Linked DNA regions of Macaca mulatta. The protein of the gene in region 1 purifies or fractionates together with the protein of each later gene. This does not show direct contact. Links are inferred from orthologs where the notes say so. Each region holds a gene or a part of one and is shown on either strand. Other genes may lie near its edges. The genes, in order: GEMIN2 and SNRNP70.

Evidence for each region.
Region 2: the proteins of GEMIN2 (region 1) and SNRNP70 purify together in Homo sapiens (affinity purification with mass spectrometry; 5 studies listed by BioGRID and IntAct, counting the BioPlex papers as one, with this or other methods). This does not show direct contact. The link is inferred for Macaca mulatta from reciprocal best matches to the Homo sapiens genes GEMIN2 and SNRNP70.

The regions. Positions count from the first base shown.
Region 1 is NC_133412.1:112,222,894-112,227,670, reverse strand, and holds the start of GEMIN2 (gem-associated protein 2), read right to left. Parts: upstream 3,062-4,777; 5' UTR 3,000-3,061; coding exon 2,863-2,999; intron 2,509-2,862; coding exon 2,424-2,508; intron 1-2,423. UniProt on the Homo sapiens protein: The SMN complex catalyzes the assembly of small nuclear ribonucleoproteins (snRNPs), the building blocks of the spliceosome, and thereby plays an important role in the splicing of cellular pre-mRNAs.
Region 2 is NC_133424.1:61,533,251-61,537,472, reverse strand, and holds the start of SNRNP70 (U1 small nuclear ribonucleoprotein 70 kDa), read right to left. Parts: upstream 2,801-4,222; 5' UTR 2,609-2,800; exon of another isoform or gene 2,400-2,608; intron 1,846-2,399; 5' UTR 1,836-1,845; coding exon 1,689-1,835; intron 1-1,688. UniProt on the Homo sapiens protein: Component of the spliceosomal U1 snRNP, which is essential for recognition of the pre-mRNA 5' splice-site and the subsequent assembly of the spliceosome. SNRNP70 binds to the loop I region of U1-snRNA.

The DNA.
Region 1 (4,777 bases):
ACTTTGGTATGGGCAAGATGTACTTAAAGACATTTAACTTTAAATTGCCTACTTCTGTTTTCTTTTTTTGAGACGGAGTTTTGCTCTTGTTGCCCAGGCTGGAGCGCAATGGCGTCATCTCGGCTCACCACAATCTCTGTCTCCCGGGTTCAAGCAATTCTCCTGCCTCAGCCTCTCGAGTAGCTGGGATTACAGGCGTGTGCCACCACACCCGGCTAATTTTGTATTTTTAGTAGAGACGGGGTTTCTCCATGTTGGTCAGGCTGGTCCTGAACTCCCGAACTCCTGTGATCCGCCTGCCTTGGCCTCCCAAAGTGCTGGGATTACAGGCGTGAGCCACTGTGCCCAACCATACTTCTATTTTCTAAAACAGCACGTATAGCCTGAGCAACATATCAAGACCCCGTCTCTACAAAAAATACAATTAGCTGGGCACTGTGGCACATGCCTGTCGTCTCAGCTACTGGGGAGACTGAGGTGGGAGGATGGCTTGAGCCCACGAGCTCGAGGCTGCAGTGAGCTATGATCATGGCACTGTACTCTGGCCTATGCAACAAAGCGAGACCTTGTCTCAATCAATCAATCAATCCATCAAATTAGGTATATTAAGACATTCTGTTCCATTAAATGTCCATCAACTAAAAAATCCTGAAGAGGAATTATAAGAAAAATTATAGTGTCTGAATTAAAATTTCCTGATTACAAATATCAGTTAGAACAACTACTTTGAACATGAAAAGGAAATTACTATCAACTAGTTAAAATGCCACTCTTCCAGGCACCTGTAGTTCCAGCTACTTGGGAGGCTGAGGCAGGAGAATGGTGTGAACCCAGGAGGCGGAGGTTGCAGTGAGCTGAGATTGCACCACTGCACTCCAGCCTGGGTGACAGAGTGAGACTCAGAGACTCTGTCTCAAAGAAAAAATAAATAAATAAAATAAAATGCCACTCTCCTTTGAGCTTAGGTTAAATAGCACCTCCTTAGAGAGACCTTTGCTGGCCAGGTGTGGTGGCTCACACCTGTAATTCCAGCACTTTAGGAGGTGGAGGCAGGCAGATCACTTCAGGTCAGGAGTTCGAGACCAGCCTGGCCAACATGGTAAAACCACGTCTCTACTAAAAATACAAAAATTAGCCGGGTGTGGTGGCACACACCTGTAATCCCAGCTACTTAGGAGGCTGAGGCAGGAGAAGCTCTTGAACCTGGGAGGCGGAGGTTGTGATGAACTGAGATCGTGCCACTGTACTCCAGCCTAGGTGAAAAATAGAGACTCAAAAAAAAAAAAAAAAGGGAAAAAGAGAGTCCTTTTATGATTCCTCTATCTACAGTAGTTCTGTCATGTATTATTATATATGCTTATTTTCTTCATAGCAATAATCACAATATGTAATTATTTGTTCGCTTGTTTACTCTCTGTCTTCCTCAGGAGAGTATGTAAACTCTACAAGGGTAAGAACCGTTTTTGTCTTATCCTCTGTTGTATTCCCAGGGCCCGGCACTGTACTCTGCTTAATTAAAGATGTGCTGGATAAATGAAAATGTCCAGAGTGTGCACATAGCTATAAAAGTAAGGCCGGGTATGGTGGCTCACACCTGTAATCCCAGCAGTTTGGGAGGCAGAGGTGGGCAAATCACGAGGTCACGAGTTCGAGACCAGACTGACCAACACGGTGAAACCCCGTCTCTACTAAAAATGCAAAAATTAGCCGGGTGTGGTGGCGAGCGCCTGTAATCCCAGTTACTCAGGAGGCTGAGGCAGGGTAATCGCTTGAAACCGGAAGGCAGAGGTTGCAGTGAGCCGAGATCGCACCACTGCATTGCAGCCTGGGCAACAAGAGTGAAACTCTGTCTCAAAAAAAAAAAAAAAAAAAAAAAAAAAATGTGTAAGACATCTGGGTTTCTATTAAAAAAAGTGAAATTTAGTCAAATTCAGATTAAATTATATTAAACTAAGATTAAACACCAATCCAATAACTGGAAAAAGGTTCCTTAAAAATAAAGGGGTCAGGCGAGGTGGCTCATGCCTGTGATCCCAATGCTTTGGGTGGCAGAGGTGGGAGGATCCCTTGAGGCCAGGAGTTCCAGACCTGCTGGCAACAGAGACTCACTCTCTATAAACAAACAAACAAGCAAAAAGAAAAAAGATAGCATAAGTAACCCATTTAAAGACTCCTTTGAAAGGACTGGATAATGTCCCTGAAGTAAGATGGGCAAGCCTCCACAAAGGCTAGAGTTACAGAAAGCCTCTTTAGAGGCAGTAAATGCCAATTGTGTTTCTGGAGGAAAAAGTACAAGCGAATGTCTAACTTTGCAGCGAGTAGTCAAATCTTACATCATAATTGATACTGTTGGATACTATAGGGAGCGTTAGTCTTTTAACTGGGGGATTGGGGGTAAGCTCCAGACGGTTAATAAAACTCACAGAAATATTCACACTTTGCTTCCTTTTCAACTTCTTTGGGTCAATTTGAGCTACCACAACATCTGGACATTGAGCTGCTTCGATCCTACAAATAAGTAATAAACGCGAGAAATTAAATTTCTATTGTGCTTTGCTCAGGTGTAGTAAAACGAGCGATCCACTTCCACAGTTCATTGTGAAATTAGAAAAAAAATTCAGACTTCCAATTGAGGAACTAAACAATATATTTCTGAAATTATCTGGATCGAAAACAAATCTAAGAGCACACATCTTGATACGTGCAATCACGTTCAACAGAAACTCGCCCACGTTAGGATGTAATCCAGAATCCTGAATAGACCCGAACTCGCAAGAGACTGGAACGGGAATAGAGCACCGGGGGCTGTACCCAGGGGCAGCGCAGAAGACCAGCCCACCCGCCCAGGGCCAAATCACTCACTGGACCCGCCTCAGGTATTCCTGAGGCGTCCTCGGGGGTACCGAGGGATCGAAACCTTCCGTCAAGTCGCAGGGCTCTACCGGCAATAGCCGAGGCATCAACTCTTCCACTGCGGACTCCGCTGGTACCCACGCCATGGTTTTCAAACCAGCCAGTTCCGCTCAGCGCTTGCGCCCATTCTAGGTCACAGCGCAGGCGCACAAGTAGACACCTTAGGCGCGGAGCTGAGCAAGCGGCAGTTTAGGGAGCGTTAACTGCGCATGAACAAACTGCTGCTTGCCTCAAGGTTAAGGCTCCGGTGGTGTAATAAAGGATCTGAGAATTTAATTCCTAGCTGAATTGGTTCGAACGCGTTTCTGGGTCTTTTACCCTCTGTTTTGTTTTCTAACGCTGGGTAAAGGCCGAGGGTTAGCAACTTTTATGCATCTCTAGTAGTGAGGGATCCTTAGAAATGTTTTTTGAATTAATGAACAATATTACGGTAATTATCATTCATGGAGCTCTAAATTTTTAAACCCTTAATAAACACACACATTTTCTCATTTGATTCTTAGAACAATCTTGTGAAGTGGGTAGTAATATTCCGCTTTCTTAGGGCAGGGACTGACCTTCCAAAGGGGAAGAACCAATTCCAACCTAGATTTATCCGATGCCAAATGAATGAAAAATTAATTTTCTACAGGAATTTCTAGTGCTTGACCACTTCAAAGATCACTGTATGTTTATTTGGAATGAATATTACTCCTAGAATAGCCAGCACTTTTTAATTTTCGTTTTAAAGAAAAATCTCTTCGTTTAAATACAAATAGTGAAAAAATGAAACTAATGCTAACACCCAGAAATTAAAAATGTTAGGTCAGTCTTGTTAGGTAGATAGTATTATTATCTCCATTTCATAGGTGAGGAAACAAGGCAGGAATGTGCAAGAAACAAGTATAATATCTGATTATTTCTAAACAAATACAATTGAGTGAATGCAATTGACTTTTATTTTCTAACATTTATGTTTATTTTAGAAGGTTTAAAAAAATTTTTTTATTTATAGCACTGCCTTTAGCTTGCAAGGAACTGATTTTAAACCAGGATGTAAATCTAAATTGAAGATAAAGTGAGGATAGTCCTTAGCTTATTTAAGTACTTAATGCTTAGGAACTGCAACTAAACAGTTGGGACACTGGGAAAGATAACACCTGGCTGCAGACTACAGTTATTTGGTTAACAAATTTTCACTGGTTTTGGGAAAAACAGACTTAAAAGAGAATAGGGAGAAATACTCCTGTCCTCCAACATTTTGGTGATAATCAAGGACAAATATGAAAAAGTAGTGACTTGAGGACTAAACTGATTTTTTTATTTTGCCCAAATTCCTATCTAAGGGGTCTGGGGAGTCATGCCCTACAAAGCATAAATTCTCATCAGATGGGTTTTATTTAACCCTATATATCATGATTTACTTTTCAACCTCACTTCAGCATAACATTATGAGACAAAGAAGAAGAAAAAAATATTTTACCCCAAAACATGTTTCTTTGCCCTATTTTGAAAAGGCCCTGCAAAGCTGTTCTTCGTGGGGGAAAATTTGCATCTGTAAAGAATCTTGGCCAGGCGCGGTGGCTCACGCTGTAATCCCAACCACTTTGGGAGGCTGAGCTGGGCAGATCACCTGAGGTCAGGAGTTCCAGATCAGCCTGGCCAACATGGTGAAACTCCATCTTTAGTAAAAATACAAAATATTAGCTGGGCATGGTGGCGGGCGCCTGTAATCCCATCTACTTGGGAGGCTGAGGCAGAAGAATCGCTTGAATCCAGGAGGTGGAGGTGGCAGTGAGCCGACATTGTGCCATTGCACTCCAGCCTGGGCAACAAGAGTGAAACTCCATCTCAAAATAAATAAATAAATAAAATAAAATATTAC
Region 2 (4,222 bases), on another chromosome or scaffold:
AAAAAAAAAAAAAAAAAAAAATTAAAAAAAAAAATAAATAACTAGTAACTGAGACCAGGCACGGTGGCTCACGCCTGTAATCCCAGCACTTTGGGAGGCCAAGGTGGGCGGATCACGAAGTCAGGAGATCCAGACCATCCTGGCTAACACGGTGAAACCCCGTTTCTACTAAAAATACAAAAAATTAGCCGGGCGTGGTGGCAGGCACCTGTAGTCCCAGCTACTCCGGAGGCTGAGGCAGGAGAATGGCGTGAACCCAGGAGGCGGAGCTTGCAGTGAGCTGAGATAGCACCACTGCACTCTAGCCTGGGCGACAGAGCAAGACTCCCTCTCAAATAAATAAATAAATAAATAGAAACTGGCACATGACCTGCATCATCAAAGGGCACCTACCACCGCCTGTGCCCATTAAGTTAATTTAACTGGCCAGTAACACTTCTCAAATGCGGGTTCACCAAGGGTGGCAAATCCCACTGAAGATACACCTTTCTGTTATCTATGAACTTCTGCTGTGCAACTCCCTCGCCTCCAGCTGCCCTTCCCTACGCAATGCCAGAATGTTCTTGTAACTTCTGGCTATGTGCCAGTTTTTCTCAGGTGTGCTCTGATGCACCTAGGAGAAGACCTTTGTCATCCCATTTCACAAATAAAAACACAGAGGTCCAGGAGCCTAAGTCATTCATTCCTATTTACCCCGAAGGTGCAGAGCTAAGATCCCCATCTGCAGTTTTAAGTCCTCCAATACTCAATACTGGGTGCTAAGTCTTTATGAACATCATCTTATTAACAATAAAAACAGTAAACAAAGTAACAAAGGCTGACACGTGCTGACTGGTTGGTGCCAAGCCCCTGATATACACTTTGCCATTTAATTCTCCAGCATTATGAGGGTGCTACCACTATCCCCTTGCTAAAGATAAAGAAACCAATGCATGAAGAGGATACAACATTTGCCCAAAGTCAGAGCTGATAAATGGTGCGGGTTAAGTGCCAATCTTCAACCACTACTCACTGAATTTTCACAAAAATTCTACAAAAGGGGTACTATCAAACCCTACTTTTTTTTTGAGACAGTCTTCTTCTGTTGCCCAGGCTGGAGTGCAGTGGCACGATCTCAGCTCATTGCAACCTCCACCTCCTGGGTTCAAGTGATTCTCGTGCCTCAGCCTCCCAAGGAGCTGGAATTACAGGCATCATCATGCCCGGCTAATTTTTGTTATTTTTAGTAGAGACGGGGTTTCACCATGTTGGTCAGGCTGGTCTTGAACTCTTCACCTCAGGTGATCCACCTGCCTCAGCCTCCCAAAGTACTGGGATTACAGGCGTGAGCCACCGCACTGGGCCACAACCCCACTTTAAAAAAAATTTTTTTTTTTTTGAGAGACAAAGTCCTGCTCTGTCACCCAGGCCGGAGTATAGCGGCACAATCACAGAGCACTTCAGTCCCCAACTCCTGGGCTCAAGCAATCCTCCCATCTCAGCCTCCTGAGTAGCTAGAACTACTGCTGCACTCGACCACACCCGGCACCCGGCTGCAACCCCATTTAAAACAGCGAAACTGAGGATCACAAAGATTAAGCCCCTCGCTTAAATCACACAGCTAGCAAAATAGTCAGAGGCTGGACTCGCAAATCCAACCCCTTGCTCCCCAGAACCCAAACCATTCCTGGCCTGCTCAGTGAACTCACCTCAAACTCTCGAATGTACGGCGCAATGCCACAGTAAGGTTGATTGTGGTGTTTTTCATGTGGCAGTTTCTCCAGGGGTGGCAGGTATGGGATAGGGTCACGGGGGGCAAAGAGGGCCAGAAGGTTGGGCGGCAGGAACTGGGTCATCTTGCCAAGTCTGAGAGCAGAAGCAGGACAGCCTTAGGTTAGATCGGGTCTGCAGAGAAAGCCCCTATTACTCCTTGACTCTCAAAGTAAGAAAGAAAGGAGAAAAGTCTCGGAATTAAAACAGGCTTTGTAACGGCAGAGAACGGTCCTGTGTTACGGAGAAAAGGGTAAAAGTCTTGTTGGAGGTGGAGGTGAAAGGCCGGTAAAAGACACAAAAATAAAGGCTGAAAAAGGGTTCCTGAGTAGTGAAGTCTCAGAGTCCTGAGACACGAGCTGTGGGGCGGAGAGGTTGCCTGGGAATTTCTGGGGGAATCAAAGACCCGAGGAGGGAGGCCCAGGGCAGTTGTGGCTGCTCGTCCCGTACCGTGGACAGCAAATTACTAGACGCAGTTTGCAAGGGCCTGGGGGTCGGAAGTCTCCGAGCAAAGAAAGAGAAACATAAGGAGCGAAGCCCCAAAACCAAGCGCTTGTGGGTAACAGATCTGGGCCCCGCAAAGGCGAAAGGAATTATGGGTAAGGGTCCAGGACAACATAGAAAAACGAAAAAGAAAAAAGGCTACACACCGCAAGGGCCTGTGGGTAGGGAACCGCGAGGGCGATGTGGGGACCGGGCGTGGGTGCCCAGAGAACTCGGGGTCCGAGAAAGGGATGCAAAAGTGACCTGTGGCGAGGACGCGGGAAGGGGGCCTGGCCGCGGGGAAGAGGCCCGGGCCCACCGCTGGGGCTTCTGGGTAGCGGCCCCGCTCCCCGTCGGGCCACTCAGTCACACTCACTCGCCGCGCAGCGCCCTCCTAGCTCTGGTGTCTGTCCGGAGGCTCGCGGCGGCTGCGGCGGCCCCTCAGCAACAACAGCTCCTGCTTGGGCTTCCACTCTGGGGGCGTCCGCGTCCGTCTGATTCCGTCGCCCGCGCAGCGAGCGCACCAGGCCGCTGCTCAGGAACCCGCGCGGCCTCGGCTAGCGACTGGAGCAGGGGGTGGGTCCCGGCCGCAAATCCCTCCGCCGTCTGCACTGCGCACGCGCCGCGCGAGGCCAAGCTCAACCCACACGCTGGGACCCGGCGCCGCCGCGGCAACAGCGCACGCGCGAGGTCACCACCCCGCCTTCGGGCACCTTGAGTATTTCAACCGCCGGGAGCTGGCGTCTGCACTGCGCGCGCGCGCTTAGCCCCAAGCCGCCCCTCCACCTCTCGCTTTCCGCTCCAAACCGCCTATGTCCGCGAGGCTCTCCCTGATGCTCCGCCCCTTTCCAATCACACTTCCCGGATCTTGCGCGCATGCGTTCTGCGTAGGGAACTATAATGTACCTCTCCGCCGACTAGCAAAGAGTCCCTAAGTGAATGGCCTGATTGCGTTGATGTTTAATCTAGTCAATCGATAACTGTTCATCGAGCATCTCGTGTGTGCTAGGCACTGTCTGGGCTTTGGGGCTACAGCACGTGATTAAAGCAAAGTCTTCTCCTGCTAGGGCTTACACTGTACTGGGAGAGACAATAAAAGCATTTAACTGAGTAAAGATAATTTGAGGCCGGGCGCGGTGGATCACGCATGTAATCCCAGAACTTTGGGAAGCTGAGGCGGTCGGATCACCTGAGGTCAGGAGTGCGAGACCAACCTGACCAACATGGTGAAAGCCCGTCTCTACTAAAAATACAAAAATTATCCGGGCGTGGCGGTGCGCGCCTGTAATCCCAGTTACTCGGGAGGCTGTGGCAGGAGAATCGCTTGAACTCGGGAGGCTGAGTTTGCAGTGAGCCGAGGTCGTGCCATTGCACTCCAGCCTGGGCGACAGAGCGACTCCGTCTCAAAAATAAATAAATATAAAAAATAAAAGATATTTTGAGATAGTGGCCAGCATAATGAAGAACGATGGAGCAGAATAAAGGGATGGGAAATGAGAGCGAGTCTATTTTGATAATGGAAGCCTCTTCTGAAGAGGCAACATTTGAACAAAAACCAGATAGAAGCGAGATCTGGAGGGGGGGAGGAGCGGGGGGTGGTGTTTAACAGTTTAAGTGCAAAGGTCCTGAGCGAGGACCAGATGGCAGAAATCTCAGGTTGTTAGCCATGAGATCAGAGAGCTGGCACTTAAGCTATTTGGAGCCCTGTTGTTAAGTATCTTCAGTTTTGTGGATAGATTCAATAGCCTGTTTAATAACTACAGAAATTACTGCAAAATTCAATTGACTAATTTTATGTTTCAATAAAAAGGCCAAGTGCAGTGGCTCACACCTGTAATCCCAGCACTTTGGGAGGCCAAGGCGGGTGGATCACTTGAGGAGTTCGAGACCAGCCTGGCCAACATGGTGAAATCCCATCTCTACTAAAAATGCAAAAATTAGCTGAGAGTGGTGGCACACACCTGTAATTCTAGCTACTCGGGAAGCTGAG